Bombyx mori: one gene and its partners. The main gene of each other region encodes a partner of the protein of the gene in region 3 in a complex. Links are inferred from orthologs where the notes say so. Each region holds a gene or a part of one and is shown on either strand. Other genes may lie near its edges.

What was found.
Region 1: the proteins of pre-mRNA-splicing factor 38 (region 3) and microfibrillar-associated protein 1 are in contact, whole or in part, in a crystal structure (PDB 5F5S), measured with the Homo sapiens proteins. The link is inferred for Bombyx mori from reciprocal best matches to the Homo sapiens genes PRPF38A and MFAP1. Residues at the interface, in NP_116253.2 of Homo sapiens: Tyr124, Asn125, Tyr127, Lys129, His143, Asp145, Glu146, Asp149, His153, Tyr169, Val170, Glu172; in NP_005917.2 of Homo sapiens: Glu275, Tyr276, Trp279, Arg282, Glu283, Arg286, Arg289, Asp290, Arg294, Leu297, Glu298, Lys301.
Region 2: pre-mRNA-splicing factor 38 (region 3) and WD40 repeat-containing protein SMU1 share a complex: the UniProt entries of both Homo sapiens proteins name them as parts of the spliceosome B complex. The link is inferred for Bombyx mori from reciprocal best matches to the Homo sapiens genes PRPF38A and SMU1.
Region 4: pre-mRNA-splicing factor 38 (region 3) and protein Red share a complex: the UniProt entries of both Homo sapiens proteins name them as parts of the spliceosome B complex. The link is inferred for Bombyx mori from reciprocal best matches to the Homo sapiens genes PRPF38A and IK.
Region 5: pre-mRNA-splicing factor 38 (region 3) and zinc finger matrin-type protein 2 share a complex: the UniProt entries of both Homo sapiens proteins name them as parts of the spliceosome B complex. The link is inferred for Bombyx mori from reciprocal best matches to the Homo sapiens genes PRPF38A and ZMAT2.

What each region holds. Positions count from the first base shown.
Region 1 is NC_085127.1:8,417,076-8,422,889, reverse strand, and holds the end of microfibrillar-associated protein 1, read left to right. Parts: intron 1-133; coding exon 134-258; intron 259-1,739; coding exon 1,740-1,883; intron 1,884-2,031; coding exon 2,032-2,128; intron 2,129-3,129; coding exon 3,130-3,315; 3' UTR 3,316-3,979; downstream 3,980-5,814. UniProt on the Homo sapiens protein: Involved in pre-mRNA splicing as a component of the spliceosome.
Region 2 is NC_085112.1:941,111-948,606, forward strand, and holds the start of WD40 repeat-containing protein SMU1, read left to right. Parts: upstream 1-3,085; 5' UTR 3,086-3,286; coding exon 3,287-3,312; exon of another isoform or gene 3,313-3,329; intron 3,330-3,406; coding exon 3,407-3,473; intron 3,474-4,174; coding exon 4,175-4,433; intron 4,434-4,804; coding exon 4,805-5,319; intron 5,320-5,757; coding exon 5,758-5,885; intron 5,886-6,775; coding exon 6,776-7,220; intron 7,221-7,496. UniProt on the Homo sapiens protein: Involved in pre-mRNA splicing as a component of the spliceosome. Regulates alternative splicing of the HSPG2 pre-mRNA. Required for normal accumulation of IK.
Region 3 is NC_085134.1:4,005,597-4,012,150, forward strand, and holds pre-mRNA-splicing factor 38, read right to left. Parts: upstream 3,639-6,554; 5' UTR 3,608-3,638; coding exon 2,946-3,607; intron 2,667-2,945; coding exon 2,369-2,666; 3' UTR 2,121-2,368; downstream 1-2,120. UniProt on the Homo sapiens protein: Involved in pre-mRNA splicing as a component of the spliceosome.
Region 4 is NC_085122.1:6,714,218-6,718,247, forward strand, and holds the start of protein Red, read left to right. Parts: upstream 1-1,230; 5' UTR 1,231-4,030. Other genes in the region: Mif (macrophage migration inhibitory factor), read left to right, coding at 889-967. UniProt on the Homo sapiens protein: Involved in pre-mRNA splicing as a component of the spliceosome. Auxiliary spliceosomal protein that regulates selection of alternative splice sites in a small set of target pre-mRNA species. Required for normal mitotic cell cycle progression.
Region 5 is NC_085128.1:9,736,065-9,742,775, forward strand, and holds zinc finger matrin-type protein 2, read right to left. Parts: upstream 3,859-6,711; 5' UTR 3,656-3,858; coding exon 3,541-3,655; intron 3,454-3,540; coding exon 3,212-3,453; intron 2,761-3,211; coding exon 2,521-2,760; 3' UTR 2,470-2,520; downstream 1-2,469. UniProt on the Homo sapiens protein: Involved in pre-mRNA splicing as a component of the spliceosome.

The DNA of each region.
Region 1 (5,814 bases), on a different chromosome or scaffold from region 3:
TGCTGAAGTTTTAGATGATTTATATTTTCTTATAAAAACGTTGATTAATAGTGATGCGAAATTACGAATAAAACAAATATTTTTCACACTGTTTTTATTCTTCACAATTTCAATCTTTTAAACATACTTTTAGGGAGAACAAAAAGAAGGGAATATAAATGATGTATGTACAGATGATGAAAATGACGAACTGGAATATGAAGCTTGGAAGTTGCGTGAAATGAAACGTATCAAACGAGATAAAGAAGAAAGGGAAGCGTAAGTTAAAATTATTCATTTGGAAGCTATTTTCTTCTACAGTAGGCGCGCGAGTTCATGTCCGTCCTGAGGAATGCGGTAGTGCTGTGACCTAGTTAATTATGGTGTCGATAATAACTACCGATTTAGTCAATAGCTGTCAATTTGGTTTATTGTAACTAGGTCATTTTGCAAATTATAAAATAAATGTGGTAAGTAATTACTTATTTATTTCTAATAGAGAAAAATATTTTTTAAATTCCAATTCAATTACTATCAGATGAAAAGATAACCGACAGATCAGAGTCCGAATCAGTGTAGGTTTTTTTCTACCTGAACTTGTTGGAAGCGAAGTAGTCGTAGTTTATTCACCATGAAATAACACAATAGCGTTAGCGTAAATTTTTGATATCGATAAGCGCGCGTCACAACTGTCAAAGACAACACTAAACGTCAGACAAACGCGGGGAGGCGGACGGAGGCGGGGCGAGCTGCCCCCCGCGCGTCACCTCTGGCCCCGATGGACACGAACTCGCGCGCACACTGTAGGTTAATTCAACTGTATCTGCTATACGGTAGAACAGTATTCACCATCAATACGCAATGTCGTCAAAGGCCTTTAAGAGATATACTGTAAGATGGGAAGCAGTATTCTCTGAACATTACAGTAGGTAGAGCTAGTGTGCCTGGCTAGAGCAATAAAAGCTAAGTTACTAAGTGAGAATCTGAGGTCCTTAGATTTGCCGAGTATTATTATTAACCCATGGTATATATGAGTCGACTATTATCAAAGCCGGCAATCTGACTTTTGGACAATGATTGGTAAATCAGAAAAACGAATTATTGACTTTGTATTCCATTGGCAGTCACAAAACTCTTCGGAACGACATCTTAGATAAATAACAGGTTAACTATTAACCTTTATTTAATGCAGGTTTTGAACCGTATTCTTTGAAGGAGACGATTATATTCAAATAAATCTGTATTGACATATCAATAAAAATTTTTTGTCCAAATGTACAGATTGCCGCCTTTGATAATAGACGACTCATATGTAGTTAGTACAAGACTTATGCTTCACTCTGTTTTAAAATTAATAGTCGTCTCATATTTCAAATATGAGTTCCACGTTTTGGGTTTTGATTGTGTGAAGTAGATGTTATGCTGATAGGCTGAGATATGCTAAGATTTTATCCACGTAGATGTTATTCTGGCCTAAATTATCTCAGACTGCAGCTGATGTATTTAGTCAATCCCGTGTCAGGACTGCAGCTGATAATGATTTTCTATCAGTGATTGTTATTTGAAATCACAATTTATTTTTTAGATCGCACGATTAAAGAATTCAGTCTCGGAATTTTAATAAAATTAACTATGTTAAAGTTTCACAACGAATAATGTTATATTAAAGAGACTAAAGTTTTAGTCAGTATTAAACATTTTTAATGTATTTTAGTGGCCGTCGATTTTTAGTCAGTGTAACATTTTCATTTTTATTTCAGAGCCGAAAAAGAGATGTTAACTCTGGAACGATTACGCAACATGACCGAAGATGAGCGACGCCTCGAACAACGTATCAATCCAAAGGTTGTCACAAATAAAGCAGTCAAAGGAAAATACAAGTTTCTGCAGAAATATTATCACAGGTAAAATTCATACTTTAAAAATTGTATTAAAAATAATTTTGCTTAATAAGAAAATTATTAAAGTTATTAACCATAAAATTTGAAGCATAAAAACTTGCTTAGTGTGAAAACTATTAAAATTAATAACGATTATATTTTCTAATTTTAGAGGTGCCTTTTATTTGGATAAAGAAGAAGATGTTTTCAAACAGGACTTCTCGGGTCCTACGCTGGATGATCATTTTGACAAGACAGTTTTACCAAAGGTATAAATTTTCTATAAGTTTCAAGAGTAAAATAAGTAAAAGTAGTGTAAACTATACGGATCAAAAAAATACAATATTTTTTTCGGTCTGATTTTTCTAATCAGGGTACGATGGAAATAATAAAATTATTTTATTGGTCCTTGCTAAGTACGTATTCAAATTAAAATTGCTAATCGGATGAAAATTACAGTTGAAATATTGCGTTGTATAAATAGATACAAGTCGAGCTAATAGAAACGTGTTAAATTCAAATGTGGCTATATTACTCAATATGGGTCGCGATATTCAAGTTTGTGGTCTTCAGTAACTATATAGTACCGAGCGAGCGAGTGAGTGACTTGGGGATCTAGGGGCGAGCACGAATGACTATCGAAAAAGTATGTATTCATATCGCTATCCAGAAAAAATGTATAGGATTTAAATAGTGCCCCTACCGTCCGTAAAAAGAATTAATTTCAGCAACACGAATGAATTTACATACTTCCGTACTACTTCCCAATCGAATCGTCACGTTCTAGGAACTCGAAACTTTCATAATTTATCGACATACGGTAACGTAAATCTCGAAGGCTGGCTATCGAGTACTACCATAAATTGTAATTTTACTGGTGGTAGGTGAGTCCGCGCGGGTGGGTACCACCACCCTGCCTATTTCTGCCGTGAAGCAGTAATGCGTTTCGGTTTGAAGGGTGGGGCAGCCGTTGTAACTATACTTGAGACCTTAGAACTTATATCTGAAGGTGGGTGGCGCATTTACGTTCTAGATGTCTATGGGCTCCAGTAACCACTTAACACCAGATGGGCTGTGAGCTCGTCCACCTATCTAAGCAATAAAAAAAATATATTGAATAGGTGGGTGGACGAGCTCACGGCCCACCTGATGTTAAGTGATTACCGGAGCCCATAGACATCAATAACTCTCTTTATTAAACAGTATTTTTTTTCTTGTTTACCTTTATTTTAACAGTGCATTAACTATTCCTATCCTATATTTGTTTTAGGTTATGCAAGTCAAGAAGTTTGGACGTTCCGGTCGTACGAAGTACACACATTTGGTCGATCAAGACACTACGGAGTTCGATTCCGCTTGGAGCAATGAAACCTCAGCAGCCAGACTGACTAACTTCCGCGGGGGAATGAAACAAGTATTCGAGAAACCTTCGGCGAAGAGGAAGCACAATGTTTGACACCTGTCAAACTTGTTAAGGGGACGTTGACCTTGTCATCAGTAAGGCGTTTTAATACGGTAGCTCTGGATGCCAATCAATGTTGATCAGGGAAGGCGTGAACTGTTTAGGCTGTCATCGTTATTAATCACGTGGTTTCTGTGGTGTACCCGTTTAGTAAAGACGTTTTTTTGATACGACCAAAATCGCAACCAAAATAGGTGACCGACTCGTGACGTCACTAAGAAAAGTATCAGAGTCTCACTTATAACTGAATCTTGTTTTCATAGACATTCAAACTGATTAAGCTATTGTTGAAGAAATTGGACCAACTTGAACCAATTGTTACGTGTTATTTAAATTTAAAACGAGATGGTAATGGCGCGTCGCATTTGGATGATTCTCTGAAGTTTGCACAAGTGACTATGCAAAATATTGCTTACGTTATTGATTCAGTGTTGTGACGTCACAAATGTCATGTATCAAGATAGCGTGAATGTTCAAAAACAATGAATTAATTCCGATTTTCCTGTGAAAAATTTGGTCCCTTTTAGATTAATTTCTATTTTTTTACTTGACTTTCATGAACACATCCATACCGTGATAGCGTATTACTTTTATTATTCGTCGAATGACTTGAAAAAATTATAAATATGCCAATAAAACTGTTTGATCCCAAAAAAAATATTTTATTTATTTAAATTTTCTTGTTTTTTTCATTGCTATAGGTGAGTGCTATTAAGAGGTTTCTAGATCTCACATATATATCGATACGCAAAAGGTCAAAGTCTCGATATTTTTTTTTTATTTTTTTTATTGCTTAGATGGATGGACAAGCTCACAGCCCACCTGGTGTTTAGTGGTTACTGGAGCCTATAGACATCTACAGCGTAAATGCGCCACCCACCTTGAGATATAAGTTCTAAGGTCTCAAGTATAGTTACAACGGTTGCCCCACCCTTCAAACCGAAACGCATTACTGCTTCACGGCAGAAATAAGCAGGGTGGTGGTACCTACCCGCGCGGACTCACAAGAGTTCCTACCACCAGTAATTACGAAAATTATAATTTTGCGGGCTTGATTTTTAATACTGTTGTCTTATCTTTCAAATTGAGTGATTGCTTCGTGGAAGAAAGAGACAGAATGATGAGACCGACCGCGTGACTCCTTTACCGTTTAAAAAAAACCACCCGTGATACACACGTATTGCATATTTGAAATTGGAACTTGCGGAAGATTTTTCAGGATATGAACCTCGGAGGTCATAGACAAAGAAGTCCGGTCTTTGAAATTCCGTTTAATTACGTGGTCGGGATTGGAAGCTAAGAGTGATTTAAAGCACTTTTGAAACTGCCAAAGAGCATAATAATTAAGATAGGGCATTGTTTTGTATATAAATTGTACATTAAATGAAGTAAAATTTTGTTTTGTTAACGTTTACAATTTGCAGTGTGGGAGATGAGTTTTATTATAATACACGGGTAGCCAAGCTCACGAGCTACCTGGTGCTGAGAAATTACTACCATTATATGTATTACCACTTTGAGCCATGAGTTTGAAAATTTAATTGTCATGAAGATTATATATATTTTTTATTGCGTAGATGGGTGGACGAGCCCACAGCCCACCTGGTGTTAAGTGGTTACTGGAGCCCATAGACATCTTCAGCGTAAATGCGCCACCCATCTTGAGATATATGTTCTAAGGTCTCAGTATAGTTTGAGAATTCGCATGTTATTTTGATTTCTTTTAATAATAATGGGCATCTACTCTATCAATGAGATGCTATCTATTGATGGCATGCATTGCTATGAGGATGATAGCATGGGGGATGCGTGATATCTCGGCCATCAGTCTCTCTCGAAGCGTGGTACAAGAGAGGCGATCAAAACTTGTGTCTGAAGTGAAGAAAACTGGGGCGTGTCTCCAAGTGGAGTGACTTGAATTCTGTTCATTTGTTTTAGTCTGGTATCCATAATACAAGGAATCTTAAATTGGGGCTGGATGACTGCGTTATTTGTTTCCAGTTATTATCATTATTAATTTTAGGGTTTTTTGGCGGGAACGCGAGGAGTAAAGTTGTGTGATTTGTTTTATTTTGTCTATTTAGTGTTTTTTTGTTTAAATGTGTAATAACGGTGGTTTAATAACTGCTTAGTATCTGTGAAAGTGCACAAATATGGGAAAATGAAACAACTTCTAGGGATCCTCTACAAGTCCACTGAGAAAGTCTGAGTAAATGACCACCATTTTATCGAGATTATATTTTCATTCCATATCATCTCATCTCATTTCATTTCATTTCATGCCATGTTTCATAATATTAATCAATTTCGTTTCATTTCATTTCATTCCATATTATCATTTTCAGAGTCAATTACTACATTAATCAAATTACTTTCTCAACCTAATTTATCTTTATCGTCCCACGTTGCTAATTTAATTGATACTTACACTGATATTAATAATAGCCAACATGGACAGTTTCCTTCGTTTTTTGTTATTCATAAACTGTAAAT
Region 2 (7,496 bases), on a different chromosome or scaffold from region 3:
GCGGTGAAGCGAGTATTTCGCTCTCTCTTCCACTCACGAGCCTTATGGACGGGTATAGTGATGCGCATTATTGTTGTCGATAAGCGTTATCGATAGTGTATTTAGTTTTTTTATTTTGTGGGTTAGTGAAAAAATGAAAGAAAAAATCACTAATCGAACACTTACACCACATATCACCGCAGCAAGTTAACGAGGACGGCAGAAATTAACACTTTGTAACTTTTCGGGATCTATTCTTATTTCAGTGAAAATTTTTAACACGTTGTGGATAACAACACGTGCAAATATTATTTTGAATAAATTCTGCCGTTTGATACAAAACAAAGGAGTAGCCATTGTGTCACTAAACAAATTCAGAGAACGAATGCAGAAAAACACATTCCTTTTCGACATAATGTACTATCATTTGCAAGTTAAGTACAAATGACTCATAACATAACAATGTCTCACCACCCTTCGTATCCCACCCCGCCGCCGTGTACCTGCCTTCGATGACTCATTTGTTTTTATCGATAATGGCGTTGCGCCCGCGCAACATGCTCACCGCCCTAGCCGGGCTATGTTTTATGACCCAAACTGCACGGACAAAATAATTCTACTATAGTAAAAGTGTTGAAACGATTTTCAGCACATACAGATTATGAAGCACAATATTCTGTTCGGAACTTGTATGTGCTTAATCTCTTGAAAATCACTTAGATATCTTGGTTGATAGATGGATGAAGAACTACTAAAGAAAAAGACGTACAATGAGTCGACTGTCGTGCAGTTTCATTATGTAGTATTCGGAAACATGTAAATATGACTGTAGTTGGTCAGCTGACTGCAGGAAGGGTTGCCCAGCCTGAAATTAAAACCCCAGTTATCCTAATTCCATCTAATCAAATCAGTCATCCTCTCAGTTCTGACCACTAAGTGGGGATAACTCAAGGTTATTTGTTTGGTGTCAACCAATACCATGAAATGAAACAGCCATGATAATAAATGTATTATGGATATTTAGACTTGACGCATGAGACTACCGCCATGTGCTATGTTGATTCAACCATTTTGTTCCAGTAGTTGTGTCGGTACACGATCTGATAGCGAAAAGTTTCGACCAACACCATAAAGAACTTTCGTTTTCCAGCTGGGTTAGGTAGGGTCCTGGTACAGAAAGCAGTTATACTTGATACGGCACGTATTGTGAGGAGGTTTCACACTCTGGAGCCTGAACCACTGGTGACTTGTGTCGTAGACACTGCCATCAGTGGCAATCTATTTATATAGTGTTTCTGAAGATTGTATTTTTAATCTTTTTTTTTTTAATATAGTTTAATTAATAAAATTTTAATAAACATGTATTAAGTATAGTTTTTAAGAAGACTGATATTACATGGATTGTTCATGCATTTATTGTTTCTTGTTTTGTATGCCCAGAGAGTTAAAAAAATCACAAAGTTAATGGCGTACTTGGCCTAGAAAACGACTAATATACCAAAGTGAGAACATCCTCGTTGAAGTCTGGTAAAACTACACTTCTCAAATCGAAAATATTCCATTGGTTTTGAAGTTGAAAAATTTTGCAATTATTGCGAAACCTCAAAAGAGACCATTACTATGTGGCTTTAGCAAACAAACTACATACTTTAATTTTTAATTGTTTTTTTACAAGTACCTCAAAAAACACCTTAAATAAGTTCATGCCTCACTTGCCGCGAGATGGCTCACTGGCGTTACTTGCATCTGTTATCAATATACTCATCTCTTTTGTCGTGAAAGGGCAGTCTAGCTCACGACCTTAGGGTCCTTGGTTACCTGGTGTTGAGGAACTTCATGGAAACCCAAATCTATCGTGCTCGTAAACGGCATCAAACTCGAGTCGTGAGATTCAAGTCTTAATTGCTTTGAAATATTCGTAGATAAAACGCTGGCACCTTTTCGTCATAACATTTAATATGCGGACGGCTAGTTTTATGGATACCAGAAGATGAAAGATGATAGAAGGCAGATGGATAAATGGGAATTAGTCATATACCTATCTATAAATTGTGATTGTCCTATAGGCAGACGAGCTTACGGCCCACCTGATGGTGAGTGGCTACCATCGCCCATGGACTTCAGCAATGCTAGGGGCTGAGTCAAGCTGCTGCCTACCGTTATATTTGACAGTAATTTGCCCGGCAGAGAAGTTCGCACCTGCTCCGTAAACCCTTCTGGGACTTTGTCACCGCGAAAAGCATTCTCGTCAACGAGCGCGAAGCTCCATTCTTTCCCCGTTACTCAGTTCAGTATATATTTTAATAATACACGCCAGTCGTCAGAGACCCTTCTAGCTCTCTTCGGCGATGATACTAGTTATTACTGGAGTGAGCTGGGAAGATGTCGCTAATTCATCGGCGACTCTAGACCGCAGGATCAGGAGCTTCGGAAGTGGCGTAATTAGTGGTGGTAGAAAGTCTTGTGAGTATCCTTGTGAGTAGTGAGTAGACTTGTGAGTACCTACCGCACGGGTAGGTACCACTACCCTACCTATTTCTGCCGTGAAGTAGTAATGCGGTTCGGTTTGAAGGGTCGGGCAGCCGTTGTAATACTGAGACTGTTAAGTATGTGTGCGTGTGCCTACGCATACGGGGTATTTCAACAAATATAGGGCAGTGTGTTAACAGCAGGCAAGTGTTTCACTCGTGTATCCCTCGTATCTAACAGAGACCTTATAACTTACATCTCAAGGTGGGTGGCGGAATTAACGTTGTAGATGTGTATGTGCTCCAGTAACCACATAACACCAGCTGTAAGCTCGTCCACTCATCTAAGCATTAAAAAAAGAACGATCCTGATGACCGGACAATATACAGTCGCCCTCAGTCTTAACCCGTTATTTCGGGTCAAAGAGTCGTGGGTCCAATTTCCAGGATAAAATGTACTATGCGTACATCGCAAGCTACTAGGCAGGATAAAATGCGTAATGCATATTAAACATAATAATTAAGGCCTATTGGTAGCATAGGAGGCATTGACCATACACTTCACGTTTAGTTTGTAGTCATAAAATTAAATGTTATGTGGGCAACATGGAGTAAGGTTGTAATAGTAACTCTATGGTGGGCAATCTATGTATGGCTTGTAGCTAATCTATGGCGCTGAACTTGAATTGTGTTTATTTCCTTCTGTGTGATTTTATTTTCAATAAAATTTTAGACATTAATTTTGTGACATTGTTTATTATATATGTAAAAATATAAACCTTCAAATTCGCGTAGCAAGTTTTCTGTGGTAACTTCGTATAAAAGACGTTTTATACACAATGTCCATTGAGATAGAATCAGCCGAGTGAGTTTACTATCAATGTAAACACGAAATTACTTGAAATTATTCATCAAATATTTAATTTAGTGCCTAAAATATATTTTTATTTCAATTGCAGTGTTATCAGACTGATACAACAATACTTGAAGGAGTCAAATTTAACCAAAACATTGCAGACTTTGCAGGTTAATTCTGTTGATATTTAATTAAACATATTTTTTAATGAATAGAATTAGTGTAAATTTTTTAAACTTTACAGATTGCACTTATTTTACTTAATTATTCACTTATATTAATGAATTTTGTGTACATTTATGAGAACTTCAATTGTATCAAGTCAGAAAAGAATACCAACTTATTATTGATAAACTCTTAAGCTTTGACACTGGCTAGGATTAATGTTACATACGGCTTTTTTAACTTCAGACAGCATGCAACTTTTAGTAAGATCCACCCATATTGAACAATTTGGGGTTGTGAATTTTTTTTAAATATTGATACCATTCCTGTGCCACTGAAGCTTTAACTTCCAAGATTAGTAGTTGTAATGACCAAATTATATGAGATGTATGCATGTTGTTCACTACTGTTAGGGTGTCTTGTGACCCCCCAATGGTACCTATAAGTTCCTGCCTATTTTTCAATAGAGCAGCCATGTGTACAGGTTTGATAGATGTGACAGCTGTAATACTATGTATAACACTGAAATTTATACCTGAAGTTTCAAGTTAGAAGGATGGCAGTGTTGATATGTCTCAACTAAAGACTCAACACTTAGTTGGCAATGAGCTTGTTCACCATTTTATGCAATAAAAAGCCGTAACTGTACATCTGATTCAGATGTCATCTCTCTGAATTTTGAAAGTAAATGATTTTTAATATATAGGAGGAAACTGGAGTGACTCTAAATACAGTAGACAGCGTGGACGGTTTCTGCGCAGATATTAACAATGGCCACTGGGACACAGTACTTAAAGCTACTGCTTCACTCAAGCTTCCTGACAAAAAGTTGATGGAGTTATATGAGCAGGTTGTATTGGAGTTGATAGAACTGCGAGAATTGGGTGCTGCGAGATCCTTGCTACGTCAGACACATCCTTGTCTGTTGATGAAGCAGCATGAAACAGATCGGTATATGCATCTTGGTGAGTCAAAATTTTAGTATATGTATTTGGCTAAAAATACATCCAGTCTTTAAATCAGATTTGTATCTTAGAATGCTAATGAATATGAATAATATAATATAAAAAGATATAATATTTAAAATAAAACTTATTGCAATACAATAGTAAATAAATGCAATACAATTAAAGTAAATAATACTACTGCTGTAGCAACTTGGCTATGCCTTTGGCATTGTTGATGTCCATTAATGTGACCAGATGGGTGGTCCTAAGCTGATCTAAATAGAGGCAATAAAAACATGTTTAGTTTAAGCAATTTTTATACACATTTCCAATTGTTTTAATCCATAGTTAAATCTGTATGTGTCTGAATGTTTATCTTCATATGACAGAAAACCTGTTAGCACGTTCATATTTCGATCCTCGTGAGGCATACGGCAGTGGAGGAGGCAAGGAGCGGCGCCGCGCTGCCATCGCAGCGTCCCTCGCCGGGGAGGTGTCCGTCGTACCGTCGTCCCGTCTGCTGGCACTACTGGGCCAGGCCCTCAAATGGCAACAGCACCAGGGTCTGCTCCCTCCCGGCACCACTATAGATTTGTTCCGTGGTAAAGCCGCAATAAGAGACCAAGAAGACGATCTCTGCCCCACCCAACTGTCCAAGATCATCAAATTCGGTCAGAAGTCCCACGTGGAGTGCGCGCGATTTTCTCCTGATGGACAATATTTAGTGACGGGCTCCGTAGATGGCGTCGTTGAAGTTTGGAACTTTACAACAGGAAAAATCCGTAAGGATTTGCGTTATCAGGCTCATGATGAGTACATGTGCATGGAAGAGGCGGTGCTGAGCCTGGCTTTTGCGAGGGATAGCGACACATTGGCTGCTGGGTCTAATGATGGAAAAATTAAGGTAATAAATGTTTTAAAACCTCATGCTAGTTAACCTTTTCATTACTGCTTCCGTGTAAAAAGTGAGTTATTATTGCTCCCTAATATATAATTATATAATGCTATGTATATGACCTAATGAGCTCAGAATTCACCTGGGCATCATTAGGTGGTAACAGACAAAACGGAAAGCAATATATATTTCCTAAGATGATTATATACTTTTTGTTGAACATATCGTGCAACCGCAATGTAATGTGAAGTTAAGAGACCTTCTCCTCCCCTTCCCTCCTCTTCTCCACCCCTTCTCCACCCCTTCGCCACCCCTTCCCCGGGCTGCATTGAACTTTGAACATGAAATTTTTTGGTCGTTCAAGATAGTTTCATTGTATCCTTTGTTCAACACATGGGTCATTAAGTAAATTCAACATAATTACTCAATAAAATTCTCTGTGAACAGGTCTGGAAAGTGTCAACGGGTAAAGTGCAACGCAAACTGGACCGAGCTCACTCTAAGGGCGTGACCTGCCTGCAGTTCACCCGAGACAACACTCAGATCCTCTCGGCCTCCTTTGATCGGACCATAAGGTATTTATTTATAAAGTTAAACCTTAAAGTGTACGGGAGGCGTCGATGATCTACCACTGCACTCAGCTGCTAAACGTCTTACTGATACAGATACTGACATCTCAATTTTCATATAGGGCAGGATTTGGTTGGATCTCCAGGGTTCAACCATTGCGACGAGCGCTTCCGATTATCGTACAGTATCCACTTTTCATCACAAGTTGATTCGATTTAAAATTTCTTCATTATTGTGTCGGTCGAGCAAAGTAAAACAGCAGTCGACGCGCGTTTGCAAGTTCCATTTACCCAATTCATGAGGTACCCATCATCCAAGTTTTTTTACTTACCCGATTTGCTTCAAATTGATTAATACAGCTTTATCACTGACTCCGAAGCCTGCAGCTATCTCTGAAGTGCTTTGTGATGGATCTGTTTCCACAATAGCCTTTAATTCTTCATTTTCCACTTTGGTCTCCAACCGTCCACGGGGCTGGTTCTGAAAGTCGAAATTTCTAGAACGAAAACGTTGAAATCAAAAACGTACCGCGCTTTCTTTTGCGACTCCAGCGCCGGACACATCATTAATCCTTCGAGCTGTTTCTGCAGCACTGCGTACTCGTAAATATACCGATATTTCATGTTTTCTGTTGTGTGGTAATAAGCGACGCCAAAGGAAAAAATAAAGAGGAAAAAACCAATGAAGGACTGTTTTCAAAATTCAAATGTACCAGCTAAATCAATTTGTAAATTTGAATTTGTAGTTCTTAACCAAAGAAGAGATATTTCAGATCAGACAAAACACTAATTTCACATCTAAGGACCTAATATTATTGTTGACTCCGAGAGCTACCTGCCCCTCACATCTTGCTCAGTAGCATTCGTATTTACAATAGCGGTACAATATTTCACAGAATCCACGGCCTAAAATCTGGTAAAGTCTTGAAGGAGTTCCGAGGTCACACTTCGTTCGTGAACGAGGCGGTGTTCACGCTGGACGGGCACGCGGTGCTCAGCGGCTCGTCCGACGGGACCGTGAAGGTGTGGGCCGTCCGCTCGGGCGAGTGCACGGCCACGCTCAAGCCCCTCGGCAGCGGGGAGCCCCCGGTCAACACCCTACTCCTCACCCCGAAGAACCCGGACCATTTCGTGGTGTGCAACCGGACGAATACCGTGGCGATAATGAACATGCAAGGGCAAATCGTGAGGTCGTTCTCGAGCGGGAGGCGCGAGGAGGAGGGCGGCGCGCTGGTGTCGGCGGCGCTGAGTGCGCGCGGGAGGCTGGTGTACTGCGCCGGGGAGGACCTCGTGCTGTACGCCTTCTGCGCCAACACCGGCAAGCTGGAGAGGACCATTAATGTGAGTGCTTCTGTACTTTTAACTGGTGGTAGGACCTCTTGTGAGTCCGCGCGGGTAGGTACCACAACCCCGCCTATTTCTACCGTGAAGCAGTAATGCGTTTCGGTTTGAAGGGTGGGGCAGCAGTTGTAACTATACTGAAAACTTACAACTTATATCTCAAGGTGGGTGGCGCATTTACGTTACGGGGATGTCTATGGTCTCCAGTAACCACTTAACACCAAGTGGGTTGTGAACTCGTCCACCCATCTAAGCAATAAAAAAAAAATATAGCCT
Region 3 (6,554 bases):
TTCAGCCATTATTATTGTATATTTATTATCTTTTAAATAAATCAAGATGCAAGGTAGCTTAATAACCTAAAAGTACATATTATTATCCACAACACGCTTCGTCAGATTATAATTTTTTTTAATTCGCCATTTTTATTAATTAACTCCTGTGGTGTACATTGAAGCAGTTCCCTCGACACCATGACTGAATAGACAAACCCGACGAACATATTTTTTCACATGCTACCAGCGATATTACCCGTTCCTTCGTTTTTTACTGGTGGTAGGACCTCTTGTGAGTCCGCACGGGTAGGTACCACCGCCCTGCCTATTTCTGCCGTGAAGCAGTAATGCGTTTCGGTTGGTAGGGTGGGGCAGTCGTTGTAACTATACTTGAGACCTTAGAACTTATATCTCAAGGTGGGTGGCGGCATTTACGTTGTAGATGTCTATGGGCTCCAGTATCCACTTTACAACAGGTGGGCTGTGATCTCGTCCACCCATCTAAGCAATAAAAAATAAAAAAAGACGATTCATTACCGTTACAGCCAGTAACAAAAACTGATTTTGAGATTTGATAACTTACCATGAATTAAAAACCAAACCTGTGTTTATTTCTTTGCATAATTGCTGGTTATAGGAGAATTGTAAGTTCGTACTGGAAGTCACCACCATCCTTACTCCATTTGACTGGGTTTTCCATTATATAGACAAATGCAATTTTAACCCCATGTCACATGTCAGGTGATGATAATTACGTTGTGATCAAAAAAGCAATAATTAGGATATTTTAATTGAATTTCTATGTAATAACTGTTTTGCCAACAGTACTTAAGTATTTGTTTCTTAGTGAATGTTACTTTCTTCGGAAGCGTGAAGATTGCCATTAGCACTAAATTCTAGATTTGACAATCGCCAAAGCTTATAAGTATTATAGAACAAGTAGCTTAATATAAAAAAATCATATATTTTGGATAACTTAAAAATTAATGTTGATGGTAGTTTAAATATGGGTCTGCGGAGGGACTTCGGTTCCCTCTGTATTTTGTACCGAATGTTCCATGGGGAGTGCTCTGAGGAATTGTTCGAGATGATGTTTCCCGAGCGCTATGACATGTCCTTCTTTAAAAGAGGCTTGTGGAGAGTATTAAGCGGTAGGCAGCGGCTTGGCTCTGCCCCTGGCATTGCTGAAGTCCATGGGCGACGGTAACCACTCACCATCAGGTGGGCCGTATGCTCGTCTGCCTACAAGGGCAATAAAAAAAAAATTGTCTGGTTATATTATCTTAGCTGTCTGATATTATTAACAGTTTGGATTTGGATGAAATTGAAACTTTAAACTCTCATGTCTCCAATTAGGCATCAATATTGACATCCTCATTTTTATAATGAGACACCGGTGTGGACGAGTCCAGACATCATAAATTACACACTAGAATAAGAGCCATCTTATTTGTTCTATATGAAAAAGATTCCCTAATTTTTATCCGTGAAAGTTAATCAAAGGAGTCATAATTAGCTTGGAACTGCTTATATGGTACTGGATTTGTTGTATTAAATCAATGTTCTATCTAATAGTACTTATTCAATAATCTAGTAATGTTAAAAATGTTTTTTTTTTAATCATCCGAACCTGTTGTCGTATTTATAATAATTTTATAAATTAAAATAATGTAACTTTTTTAGTTGTATTATTGTGATCCTCTAATGATAAAAATTAAAAAAATATATATTATGTGTTTGATGGTGGTTCATTAGCTATTCAACAACCATTACGTATTAGGTTTTTTATAATTTTAAATTTACAGTCAGATTTCATCTCTTCCCACAGATTACCATAACAGGCAAAGAGACAATATATTTCTAAAACTTCACACAGAAGAGCCCAGTTAATATTGGCTTTATTATGAACTAGCGACCCGCCCTCGCTTCGCTTCGGAAACTGTAATTTATTATTGATTTCTCCACTATTTAATGGATGTTATTATACATATAAACATTCATCTTCAATCGCTCTATCTATTAAAAAAAACCGCATCAAAATCCCTTGCGTAGTTTTAAAGATTTAAGCATACATAGGGACAAAGAAAGCAACTTTGTTTTATACTATGTAGTGATACTACATATGAGACAAAAACAGATACACCCAGAATTTGTATATTCAAACATATTTAACAAAGAGAAGGAACCTGGATTTGGTTGTACAATAGTCAAAGCTGAATTATTAACCATTAAGCTCAGGTGATAAAATATATATTATGGAACATAAAGAGTTGTTGAGTCTCCTAAAAGTATTAAAGGTTTTCTGTGTTCATGATCCTTATTCAAATAAGCTTTAGTGCTTATTGTTACATAGTATGACTAAATAAAAATTACACTTATAATTATTCTAATGTCTTCTATCTCTTCTCCTATCATCATGTCTTTCTCTTCGGTCCTTATCTCTATCTCTTTGACGTTCACGGTCTCTATCCTTCTCTCGTTCACGTTCCTTTTCTCTTTCACGCTCTTTGTCTCTTTCGCGTTCTTTCTCTCTTTCACGTTCCTTTTCCCTTTCACGTTCCTTCTCTCTTTCTCGTTCCTTCTCGCGTTCCCGCTCTTTTTCTCTCTCCCTATCACGTCTTCTATCTCTGCTCCTTGAACGTTCTCTTTTTCTGTCCTTATCACGTCTGTCACGGTCTCTTGATCTGAAATAAAAGATTTTTGTTTATTGTTTTATGTAATATGTTTCTGTTGTGTATCAAGGAGGGTTTATTATTACAATATTTATTAAGCATATACTACAAAAATGGTTGCACAGTATTTATACTGCACTTTGTTTCATAGACCATCAACAATGTACACACTCTTTTCTGAAGTCATACAAGCCTGTTGGAAACACTGATTTTTGAGAATACTAATTAATGCCTTAGAAAGATTTCAAGCAGTCAGTGATAATTGTAACGACTTTTATGATGATGTGGTACCTATCTCTCTTTCTATCCCTGTCCCGTCTATCTTTCTCTCGCTTGTTCTCTTTGGCTTCGGGGTCAATAACTTCATCGTCAGACGGCATTTCTTCATCCATATCATCATCCAGAGCCGAAATTTTGGGCTCGATTTCGTTATTCTGCTCCAAAATATGACGTTTCTGTATCCTCGGCATAATAATATCGCATAATCTCTCTTCGCGCAGTAATTCATCAATAAACTCGTCCATGTGAACTATCTCGTATTGGCCGTCGCGATTTTGCCGCCTTAACTTCCTATTATCGTTGTAAAGTGGCTCCAAATACTTGTAGCAGTCAACAGAGGTACCGGTGAGGCGCATGTAAAAAGCGCCAAGTGCACGTACGTATTTGAACTCTTCATTCTTTATGAACTCAACCACAATATCTTTTTCTGGCTGTATTTGAAGCATTTTTAATACTAAACACAAAAATGGTGTGGGGTAAATGAAACCGCCGTGCACGCCGCCTACATAACGCAATTCCATCGCTTTGTCTACTACCAGCTCTGCAGTTAAAGCGAAACATTCTTCCTTCCAATACTTCGAGTCGTAAATACGAGATCTGATAATTTTTTCTATTAAATACTGAGGATTTGTACCCCGAATTGATTTCGCGTCCTTTACGGTACGATTCGCCATTTTTGTTATGGTTCTTTGACATTTTTGACATTGACTCTTTTTGTTCTCATAACCAACTGTATACGCAAAGGGGTTGTGGCATATTACATAAAAAGTACGGCCTACATAGAAATGTATTCAACAGCAGGCAACGGTTTGGCTATTTTAAGAGCATTGCTAGCGTTCATTAACATCAATAACAACTTTCTAGAAAATGCTGGCTTTTTGAAAGCAACAAATCATTTTATGTTTGATTTATTCGAGATTTTTTCTTTTGTGCTAATGGTATGCTATGGAAGGTAGGCTCCATAAATGGTACGAAAAATAAAGTAAATGGAGGTTTCATTCATAGGAGACATCAGATATAAAGCCCATGAAAGGTATTATGAATAGTAGTATTATTAAACAGAATCGGGCTAATGTTAATCAAAGCTAGGCACATATTTGGCTATTGAATATAGATTGAAGAGTGTTATGAAAATGAATCAGTTATCATTTTATATATTTCTTTATGTACAGTATTCAAAAGGGATCAAAGATTGAAATTTTCAAATTTTAGGACGGCGCATCTTTTAAGAATAAGCCCCGTAAAAAATTACTAACAATTCCATAAAATATGTTAAGCTTCCTTTCAAAAACATTTCTCTCATTTCAAATTAAACTTTTTTATACCAAATGGCTACTAGGCACCAATTACTTGAAAACCTTATTTATTAAAAAGCACGGTACTGAGCACTGTACTCAAGTTGATTGAATAGAATAAAATAGTAAGAAAAAAGATCTACTGTGAAGAACAAAGCACAGATTTTTCCAAATAAATGCACGAGTAATTCTTAAAGTAGAGTAAAATTATTCTCATTATTTTCCATACACCGGTCCTTGACTCAAAACTAAATCAGTGAGTATTTTGTAATATTTTCACATTTAAGTAGAAAGTGAAAGTCCTTACTTTATAACTCATGGCTGGACTAGGTATATATCTATATGAAATAATAAACAAAGCGATTATATCGCCAGAAAGACCAGTCTTAACGATTGCCGTTGACTATCGAATATGACACAGGGCATTTTCTAGTCATAGAAATAATTATTTGAAAATATTTTAATTCTTATTAAGTTTTACTTTTTTTTTTATATTTTGCTATAATAAACTAATATTTTATTGGCTCACTGAATTTGGCCCCTTTCTTTTATTTTCGGATTTTTTTTATTTTTAATTATTTGTTCGTCGTTTGTTCGTTAATGCTCAAATGTAAAAATTGTTTGTTCGTCTGTTGTTTATTAATAATTAATTAAACAAATGATCACCTTTAAGTAGGACCCCCTTACTAGATATTTTTATTTTTAACGTTGAGATTAATTAATTTTGATCAATTATCGTTTGTTTGACGACTATTGGTGATTGTTCGATCATAAAATTTCAAATAATTACATTCCCAATTATTAAGCCTTGTAATATATATCAATCAAGATACTTCTCGATAGTAATAATTACGATAATATAGACGTAAATAAATATTTTTTATAAATAAAATATTTTTTAAAATAAAATCCTGTTTATAGGGTATATGTATACTAAGTTTATTCTTCCATATGAAATGAATTTCTACTAAATGTTCCTGCAATATATTTCTTGAACTTCTAAATAATTATCATTTCAATAAAAACAGATTTTGTGTGCATTAAATTTTCATTTTTTGAACTACGTAATGAATTTAGGAATAATTACATTCCCGATCCTGCGGACAGAATGGAAAGCAGTCGACGTCGCCCAAAACACGTCATCTCGGATCCTCCCGATCCACTAACGGTGCTTTTACGTACTTCAAGCACCGGTCACCGTTCTCGTCGAACCCGTCGCTTGCGACGAAGGGCTCGACGAGTAAATTAACTCTCAGACAGAGCCCACTGAGTTTCTCGCCGGATCTTCTCAGTGGGTCGCGTTTCCGATCCGGTGGTAGATTCTGCGAAGCACGGCCCTTGCTAGGGTTCGTGTTAGCAACGTCATCAGGTTTGAGCCCCGTGAGCTCACCTACTAAAGTTAGGGTTACGCTGAAATAGCCCCTAGGGCTATCAGCTTAAGTAGGAAAAAAAAAAGGAATAATTGGCCGTATTTTTCAAGGTGTGTGGCGCATTTACATTGTAGATGTCTATGGGCTCCAGTAACCATTTAACACCAGGTGGGCTGTGAGCTCGTCCACACATCTAAGCAATAAAAAAAAAAAAATCCCCGATATTTTTTGTTGAAGTTTTGAATATTTTTTTGGTCTGCATAAGGAATAATTAGACAGTATAAACGCACTTGTTAACAAAACGCTAGAAAATACGCCCATTGCCAACTGACTGACAAAACCGGCGCATGCGCAATGTAGGCGTGAGGTGATGGTTTGCTTATTAGATATAAAATAATTAATAATTAGGAATTCAATTGTTTTTAAGATCGAACAATCACCAATATTCGTTGAACTAACGATAATTGATTAAAATTAATTGATCTGAGCGATAAAAATAAAGATATCTTCTAGTAAGGGGAGCCAACTTAAGGGTAATCATTTGTTTACTCAATTATAAATAAATAAAAGACGAACTAACAATTTTTACATTCAAACATTAACGAACAAACGACGAACAAATCATTAAAAATAAAAATAAAACCGAAAATCAAAAAAAGGAGGCCAATTTCAGTGAGCCTATTTTATTGTCTACTTTTTTTTTTCTACCTAAGCTGATAGCCTTGAGAGGCTATTCCAGCGTAACCTTAACTAGAAGGTGAGCTCATGGGGCACAAACCTGACGACGTTGCTTACACGAACCCTAGCAAGAGCCATGCTTCGCAGAATCTACCACCGGATCGGAAACGCAACCCACTGAGAAGATCCGGCGAGAAACTCAGTGGGCTGCATTGTCTACTTTTTTTTTTTTTTTTTCCTACCTAAGCTGATAGCCCTAGCGGCTATGTCAGCGTAAC
Region 4 (4,030 bases), on a different chromosome or scaffold from region 3:
TGTAGTCGGTTTTTGTTAAAGTATGTCTATTTACAATTATTTTTAACAATCTTTTATTAGCTTGGCATTGTATGTAACAGATTCTTTGAATGAAATCCCACTTTATAAATGTCGGATTGACTTGAAACTTCGCACACCTATCAACGACCATAGACCTATATAGTCTCAACAACCGATAACAATGAAATAATTTAATAAAATTGTCCGATTAGTAACTTGATTGAGATTTTTAGGCTTAAAGACTGTACGGACGGTTAAAACACGGTAGTGTCTTGTGCCAAGTACAGAGGCGCGTACGCGGCTGCTGCTTCTCTTGGATTTATGATAGCCGTTTCTCAGGTTCCTTCTCTGGAACCGATCGGATTATGAAATAATCATAGATCGACCTAATAACCTGTTTTCACATATGGTGCACTAAAACGGCGATTGTTCCTTGCTATGAAATGACCATAGTTAAAGACAAAAAAAAATCGTGAGGTGGTTTTTAGATTTAAGATTTTATAGTGACCACTATCAGTACTACCAATATTTCATTAAAATAACATATTTACAATAATTGACGTCTACTATCCCACGCATTTTTTCGTTAAAATGCTTTTTCCTAGTCACTTTTTAAAAAAATGATTTGCTACTATACAGTTTTTAATCTATTATTTTTATGCGTGGTAATAATAAGATCTGTAGTTAGCTCATCCTTTTTGGCTCCTTAGTGGCGAAAACATATATGTATACATACATGTACTTATGTATGTCATGTTTGTCATGTTTGTCATGTCGGAGTTCTTGGACCTGAATCCGCATAACAGAATCTAATTAAACGCATTTGTATTGTACGATTATTCCTTTCATTATCTTTTTTGAATTAATCAAAAATTATATTTTTTACAGCATGTACATAACCTTCCAAGACGAACCTACCGGCAACGTTGGATTTAAAGGAACGACTTTCCACGCGATCTTTGGATAAACATTATAAAAAACAATATCCAAACCATAGGATAAATAGCGAGAAATGATGTGCTTCCATAATAATCTATAAAATGCTTAAAATCATATTAAAATTGTCTTTAGAGTATTCTTATTGATGTTTGAAATAGTTATTGTATGTATCCTTGGCCTTAGATTAGTCTGTGACTAACCGAAGCCGTTTTTTTTTCGGGCCTGGCCGAACCTCCTACGAGGTGCCCGCGCCTAGGAGGCGCGCGGGGTATGTGAGACTTGACGACCTGCAAGGTGTTGGGAGCAGACCGCGGGCCCAAGGAATTTTAGGGCCCTACCGCACTAAACGACTCTATTTTTTATTTTATTTTTATTGCTTAGATCGGTGGACGAGCTCACAGCCCACCTGATGTTAAGTGGTTACTGGAGCCCATAGACATCTACAACGTAAATGCGCCACCCACCTTGAGATAAAAGTTCTAAGGTCTCAAGTATAGTTACAACGGCTGCACCACCCTTCAAACCGAAACGCATTACTGCTTCACGGGAGAAATAGGCAAGGTGGTGGTACCCACCCGCGCGGACTCACAATAGGTCCTACCACCATAAAAAGTAGATTACCTATTATGATTTTAATTGTGTAAACTATTATTACACCCTAAGATACACATGTTATGAATGGGTGTGTATTATAGTTACGCGTTTACCATAATTACGTATACTATGTATGCATCATATCGTATCATCCCTTTGAGAAGGCGGTACGACAAGAAAACCCTCTTGTTGTGGCCGCCGGAAATTACATACCCGGCCCTGTGGACCGAATGGTAAACGGTCGACGTCGCCGCGTCGCCCTAAACACGTCATTACGGATCCTCCCGATCCATTATCGGTGCTTTTAGGCATTCCAAGGACCATTCACCGTTCGACGTGCAACATAACTAACGTATGTCCACAACCGACTGATTTTCGCACTGGATCTTAGACGGTCGCGATTCCGATCAGATGTTAGCTTCAGAAAGGCACTGTTCTTTTTAGCGCAGTGTGTTTAGTGCGAGTTTTTTAACTTCTCTATCACGTAAAAGTTAACTCAAATTTGTACGAATTGGAACAGCGCCCCTAGCGGCAAACCAAGGGAAACTGTTCTAACTCCAGAACTTAAAAAAACTCGCATTGAGCACACAGATGTTATAAAAGTCTCTGAAGCCTACACACCCGGCGAAACTAAAAAAGCCCTAAACTAAAAAACTAAAAACTAAAAAAGCCAAGACTACGGGTAATTAGTTATTCCAAAAAACTAGAGTAAAATTTTAAGTCAACTTTAATAGAGCTGACGAATAAAAATATTATTCCTATGTAGATGGAAGAAAGTAGTGATGCGTCAAAATTCTATATTAAATCTTAATTTAATTTTGTAAATGTATTTCTCAATGTAAAGCAAAGCAGTCTTTTTTGCATTTTCTTTAAAAGTTTGCTACGGTAACGCTATATTATATTTCACGGACACTCATAGCCACAGAGTTCAACTTCCACTGTATTCTTTTTAACTTTAGTGATAAGATGGATCATAAATAAAAATAATCGGAAACCTGTATTTTTGGAACAAAACAGTGGAATATGAACAATTGTGACCGCCAACTCACATTTATTAAGTGTAGTAGGGTATCTTATTAAGTCCAAATCGATAGATACTAACCATCATGCTTAATTCGGTTGCAAAGCAGTCGTAGAATACTGCTTCGAGACGGGCACTACACCATTCAAACTGACCTCATGTTTCAAGCTGAATAGTGGCACTTACATTGGTTTTTGTTTAAGCTGGCAACTTTATTCTAGGTGGGCCCTGAGATAGTTCACCAACTAAACCGTATTATCTTCTTTTTTTATGATTGAGGGTTTACTAGTGGCCCGGAGGCCTTTCCAGTTTCACAAGGACAGGTGGGCGAGCCAGAAGAGGCGGGATTTGCTAACAGCTACCCGAGCGCCTTCAAGGGAGACCTAGCAACTCAACAGTAGCTGCTTCGCGAATGAATCTACTACCGGATCGGAATCGCGACCCGCTGAGAAGATCCGGCGAGATACTCAACGGGCTGATGCTTATGTTAGATTGCACGGTTACCGGGGTCTCTACTCCTAGTGTTAGAGCGAAAGGCGTCTTATGCGAGGGTTATTGCGAGGTATCTAATGGATCCTTACAAGGACTACACAGAGTCACCTGGTTCCGAAAGGACATTTTACTCCGCTTACAGATCATGGGGTAGAGTCTGCCGAGAATAAACGCGGCACGGTCGTGGACTGCTTTTATATGTGGATGGAATCTCGTGGATAACCGTATTATATATGAACTAAGAATTAAAAAAGAGGAGCCCAAGGAACTCAAGCTCAAGTAAATCTTATTAGGGCATATCATTATTGGCATAAATTTTATGAGGCCTCATGCAACATGTACATACGTACAGAGTGAAGTTGTGTGAATTGTTTTAATTTGTCTATTTAGTGTTTCTTCAGGCTTAAATGTGTAATAACGATGTGTAAAAACGATATTAACTGTTTAGTATCTGTGCAAGTGTACAAATGTGGGAAAATTAGACAAAACTGCTGGACATAGCTTCTCGGGATCCTCCAAAAAGTCCACTGAAAAGTCTCAGTAAATAAGCACCATTTTACTAAGATTATATTTCATCCCATATCATACTGTCTCATTTCATTTAATTTCATCCCAGTTGATTAATGTCTCAAATTAATCATCTTCATTTCATTTCATTTCACTCCATATTATCATTTTTCATAAAAATATAAATAAAATAAGACAGAACTTAAAGGTCTTAGTTACCAGGTCATAAAATATTTAAAAAAAAGCTAGTTCGTACTTAATTACATATGTGCGGCTGTCATAGATTTTATAAATGCATTTATAGTGATAATTTTGATATAAACTCAACAAAAACAACTGCTCAGGAAGCTGTAGTTGTATTTTCTGCAGTTTTTCTACTGTTTGAATACTACTATTACTTGAATTCGTAATTTGTAATCATATTCTAGATTAAGAGCAACACAACTAAAACAAATTGATTTCATAAAAATCAATTCA
Region 5 (6,711 bases), on a different chromosome or scaffold from region 3:
TGGCCTCAACGTTTAAAGGACTGTATTGCAGCCAATGGAGACCACTTCGAATAAGCTTTTTATACTTTAAATTGTTTTATATTTATGAAATAAACTAACACACTGTAAAAGTAATAAATGTTATTTGCCATAGATTTTTTTGTAACAGTATTTATGGCCAGACTAAGTACATTTATAATTTAATTTGTTTCATAAATGTACTGGACTATAAAGTGTGTAATCATTTTTGAGCTGACTTACCTACGAATAATAAAACGATTTTTTTACAATAAAGTCGATATATGAAAATATCGATATTTTTTTCCGATATAAATTGATATATATAAAAATAGGTGAATGAAGTTAGCCCCTCAAAAAATTTTTTTTTTCCTATTTTATACTTATTCTCTATTAATTCGTTTGTTCATCATTTGTTCATGATTGTTGACTGTTAATAATTGTTTGTTCTGCATTTATTTATTTAAAAAAAATATTTAAAAATATACCTACAAGTTAGCCCCTCTAATGCAATTTTCTAATATTTTTTCATCCTTAATGACTCGTAAATATTCATTTTCGATTGTTCTTATATAAAACACGTTTGTTCTCTTTCGAAATTACTCGTTTTTTGTTTAATTTACTATTTTTATTAGTTGAATAAATGTATGCAAAATATGTGTACTGCGCATGCGTCAACTATAATGCCTAAACTTACGCGGTTTTAATCGTGAAAAAAAAAACAAATATAAATCCTGAAGGAGCAATTAATTGGTATACAGTTTAATTAAAAAAAATTAAAAATAAATAAATGAAATAATGTGCATTGGCGTTAAGTTAGACCAAATACATTTTTTCCATCCTCCTACTTATCGTTATGAAGGTAAGTAAATATAGGTTTACATTTTAATAACTTTTTTACACAGTCGAAATTATATTCCTAACATTAGTAAAATAACATTTTAATACGATAGGTAAGAGGATGGAAAAAATGTATTTGGTCTAACTTAACGCCAATGCACATTACTTCATTTATTTATTTTTTTAATTAAACTGTATACCAATTAATTGCTCCTTCAGGATTTATATTTGTTTTTTTTTTCACGATTAAAACCGCGTAGAAAGTTTAGGCATTATAGTTGACGCATGCGCAGTACACATATTTTGCATACATTTATTCAACTAATAAAAATAGTAAATTAAACAAAAAACGAGTAATTTCGAAAGAGAACAAACATGTTTTATATAAGAACAATCGAAAATGAATATTTACGAGTCATTAACGATGAAAAAATATTAAAAATTGCATTAGAGGGGCTAACTTGTAGGTATATTTTTAAATATTTTTTTTAAATAAATAAATGCAGAACAAACAATTATTAACAGTCAACAATCATGAACAAATGATGAACAAACGAATTAATAGAGAATAAGTATAAAATAGGAAAAAAAAATTTTTTTGAGGGGCTAACTTCATTCACCTTATAAAAATTTCGATATATCGAAATTTTTTTTTCAGGGATTTTATAACCTGTTAACTAAGACTTTTAAGTCATATCTTATTTTAATTTATATTCATATTTTTATGAAAAATTATATTATGGAGTGAAATGAAATGAAGATGATTAATTTGAGACATTAATCAACTGGGATGAAATTAAATGAAATGAAATGAGATGATATGGGATGAAATATAATCTGAGTAAAATGGTGGTCACTTACTAAGATTTTTTCAGTGGACTTTTTTGAGGATCCCGAGAAATTACGTCCAACGGCTTTGTTTCATTTTCCCACATTTGTGCACTTTCACAGATATTAAACAGTTAATAAACCACCATTATTACACATTTAAACCCGAAGAAACACAAAATAAAACAAATCACACAACTTCACGCCTCGCGTTCCCGCCAAAAAGTATTATATAAAATTCTTTTTTTAAGGTATTTTATGACCTGGTGACTAAGACCTTTAAGTCATGTCTTATTTTAATTTATAGATTTGGGCGAGATCGTTATCTTAGCCCAGACTCAACAGAAACGACTTAGAGTAGAGAGATGAGCGCTCTTTTAACGCCCAGCCAACTGATTTTGTTGTTGAATTGTTTATTGTCCTCGAAAAGTCAGTCAGTCAAAGTAGTCACGTGCGATTTACATATCCCAAAATCCCAAATCCCAAAAACTAAAGTTGATGTGAGTTTTGACATATACAGGACTACTGGAGTCAGTGAAAAGCTTTCATCTAGCACATGAAAAACATGCCCTCATACCAAGTCCGGTAGTGGACATTGTAGCCTTATAATTTATATTTTTTAATTGGAAAAAGCATTTGGAACATGTTACATTTACATGGTGTCGTTTTTTCTAGCCTTTTCCAAATAAATATGGTAATATTATCCTGTCTGCTAAATCAAAGTTCATAATTATACCTTGATAAAACAAGGTCAGGGCAAATAGAATTATTAGCCAAATAATAATTAAAACATTCAATGAAACATTATTGTACCACACAGTATTTATTAATATAAGCTTTACATTTTAAAACATATCATTTTTTAGATCCTCCAAAGCCAGAAAACCCCATAATTTGTGCTAATTCAGAAGGTGCTGGTGTATCATCTATTTCATCATTCTCCATTAACTTCCGTTTCTTGTCCCGACGTCTCTCCCTACGTAGCTCTTTCACACGAGCTTCTTCTTCAGCGGCTTCCTTTAATCTTGTGTCTAATTCATATTCACGCTTTTTCTCTTCCAACTTTCGTTTATTGAGTGCAAATCTTGCTTTTACCTGGAACCAAACAAATATAATGTAGTAGTAGTAGCTATGATAGAATAGAATAAATATTATTAAAACCTGAATGGTATTTATAAAATTGAGAACAGCTAGATGAGTTAGATAGATTATTTCAAATTAGTGGTCTAGAAATTTAAATCATCTATTTGGTTGAACATTTTACATTTATTATTCCTTAACAATAGCATTAGAACTTGATAAAATTAAGATTGAAAGAATTTGTTGAGAATTATTTTAATATTGAGTGCTCTAGTTGAGTGGGATGGTAGGTTTGCTCAACTCAGGCAATCACAAAAATAATAGCGTTGGTTCATGATGTTTGTTATTATTTTGATGCAACAGTGGCCAATTGATGATCTCAGACCATAAATCTAGTAGCAAGTCAACAATCCTATTTACCTGCTTGGTACTATGCATATACATACATGTGAAAAAGTAAGCTCACCTGATCTAAGCTGCTCCTTTCTATTTTCATGGACATTCCCAGATTCCTCTGATGTTTTTTACCATTGATGTGATCAAGGAAATTTATTGAATCTTTAACAACACAGTCACAAACATTACAATAATATCCTCCAGATTGGGACGTTGGCGTATTCTTATTGATTACTACACTCTTCCCGAGTCTCGAGTCCAAATCTACTTTATATTCACGTTGTTTGAGAAGTTCACGTTTGACTGGAGTGGCTGGAAAATGAAAATTAAACAAACATTTATATATTGTGTCAAATTTGTATTTTAACGTAACAAAGTGTGTTGACACAAATATTTTACCTTTCTTCTTGGATTTTTCTTCTTCTTCTAGCTCTGCTTTCAAACGCTCGGCTGCAATTTTCTCGAATTCCTCTTTGTCCCATTTTCTTCGGTGGTCATCGGGGCGCATACTCATGTTTAAATTTTATAGTATTTATTTCACAACAATTACAAGTTATGATTTTCTTACACACTCCACTTGTTTGTTTTATATTAAACGTGTACCCAGAGGGAAGAGTAATCAATTAGATCTATTAAAAAAATAACACGAGAAAATCATCCTTAACAACACAAACGAAATGTTTCTAATTGACAACTAGCAGTGACAAAACTGACAAATGATTAGTTGTAGTATTTCCATTTTCTAACAAGAAAGGCGAAAGCATATATATATTATACAGCCTAATCTTTTATATATTCAGTTACATGAAAATTAATATAATAGGTTGGGGAAAAAGTTTCTTCGCATTTTTTAAGAAAATTAACAAATTTTTTTAATAGTTTATTTACATTTAACTTAAGTATGTAGGTATCATTTTGTTCGATAGCTTTTTGCCATTTTGTAAATAGGGACATGATCCCATTGCTATAAAAAATTTGGGGCTTCTGATCAAAATACCGAGACAATTGGTTTTGGCAGTCCTCTCGTGATGTTAATCTGACACTGCCTAAAGAATTCTGAAGAACCGAAACAGGTGGAAACCTGAAGGTGCAAGGTCAGGACGGATATACGGATAAACAGCGGATGCATTAACATCTTCCAGTCAAGCTCTCTTAATTTTTGCTGAATGGCTAAAGATGTGTAAGGTCACATTGTTATCATGATGAAAAGCCACACTCCTTCTGTTGATTAATTCTGGCCACTTTCTCTCAACTTCTTCCTTTAATCTCATCAGTTGTTCGCAGTAGAGTTCAGAATCAATGGTCTTGCCTGGTGGTAACAGCTCATAATGAATAATGTCCTTCCAATTCCACTACACAAACAGCATCACCTTGTTGCAAGTTAACCCAGGTTTTGCCACAGTCTGTGAAGCCTGACGGACCTTTGACCACGACTTTTTTCGTACGTTCTTGTCGTGCGTGATCCACTTTTCATCACCAGTTATCAGCTTCTTCAAACATGGTTCGGTTTCATTACGTCGTAATAAAGAATCACAAATGAGTACACGGTTCATTAGGTTTCTTTCAGTGAGCTCGTGAGGTACCCAAATATCGAACTTTTTTGTGTATCTATTTTTTTTCAAATGAGCCAAAGCTGTTTTGTAGTCAATTCCCAGTTCTTCAGCTACGTCGTAACTACTGATATGCCGATCTTGCTTTACTTTTTCAAAAAGATGCGATCAGTCACTTTCACTTTTTCAAAAAGATTCGATTAGAGCGACGTACAAATTCTTAAAATAAAAATTTCGTATTGAAAACGCTTAAACCAATTTTGTGCTACTTTCACAGACACAGCACTAGGTCCATAAACATCGCAATTTTTTTTCGCGGCCTACGTTGCATTTTTACCTTTTTTGTAGTAAACTTTTTAAATGTATCGATTTTCTTCATTAGATTCCCTAATCTTGACAGTACGAAAAACAAATAAAAATCACACATTTTCTTAATTTGAATTTGGAATTGTCTTTTTTAAAATTTTAAACCTTTAATTATTCCAAAACCAGCCAGATACAAATAGTATAACCAAAGAGATTTTATTACAAGTTCATACATACCTACCTACTATAATGAGAAAAGACTTTTCCCCATACTATTATAAAAATGATATAGATATAAAAAGAGTTGAAGATGATTTATTTGAGGCTGTAATCGATTGGGGTGAAATGAGATGAGATGGGATGATATAACGTTTTAGTAAAATGGTGGTTATTTACAGAAACTTTAGTGGACTTTTTGGAAGAACCCGAAAAGCCACTTCCAGTGACTGTTTTTTTATTTATTTCTTTTGTATTGCCTTTGTGGGCAGACGAGCATATGGCCTACCTGAGTGGTTACCGTCGCCTATGGACTTCAGCTATGCCAGAGGCAGAGTCAAGACGCTGCCTACCGCTAAGTAGGGTAGACTAACAGCCTGGCCACGGGACATTCGCCGATGCGAATATTCGCGCGGTGCGAACGGCGAAGCGTCTAGCGACTAAAACAAGCGCATAGAAATGTACCTAACAAGCCACGCGCACCGGCGACCGGCGAAGCGACCGGCGAAATGTACCGAGCGAATCGCGCGATGCGGCGGGCGAGCAAAACAAATGCATGAATACGGACGGCGCGAGCCACGGAGTCGAGCGGTAGTCGCGGCGAATAGTGCAGTGATTAAATGAGTTTAGTTGTTTTCGCCGCGAAAAATTAACGCCGAAATTTTTATATTTTTTATTTATTTTTTATTTTATAATTTTAAAGTCGTCGTGGCCTAACGGACGTCCGGTGCAATCGTGTTGAGCGATGCACCGGTGTTCGAATATCAGGCGGGTACCAATTTTTGTAATGAAATACGTACTCAACAACACTCAACGTTCACGATTAATTTCCACGGTGAAGGAATAACATCGTGTGATAAAAATGAAATCTTCAAAATAATAATTTGCGTAATTACTGGTGGTAGGACCTCTTGTGAGTCTACACGGGTGGGTACTACCACCCTGCCTATTTCTGCCGTGAAGTAGTAATGCGTTTCGGTTTGAAGGGTGAGGCAGCCATTATAACTATACTTGAGACCTTAGAACTTATATCTCAAGGTGGGTGGCGCATTTACGTTGTGGATGTCTATGGGCTCCAGTAACCACTTAACACAAGGTGGGCTGTGAGCTCGTCCACCCATCTAAGCAATAAAAAAATAAAATAGCTGAAATACTAGCTAGACCAGCTATTTGGAAGTCTAGCCACCCAAAGTATTTCTCGTACTTCTTGTGGAATTCTCCATCTATAGGTATACTCCGATTCTTATTCAAATCATGTACTTCACAATCTTTTCCAAATAATAGGTCCTGAACCAAAAAACTATTAATTTGTAAGCAATATCGAGATAATTTCGATATAGACATTTCGCTGTCGGACTTCCTTACTAGTCGCGGCGGCGAACGTGAGTACCCGTGGCCTGCAAACGGTGCTGCGCGAATGGTCGCCTCGCCCACCGCTTCGCTGTTCGCACCGCCGATCCCCGTGGCCAGGCCGTAAGACGTGTTTTGGGCGACGTCG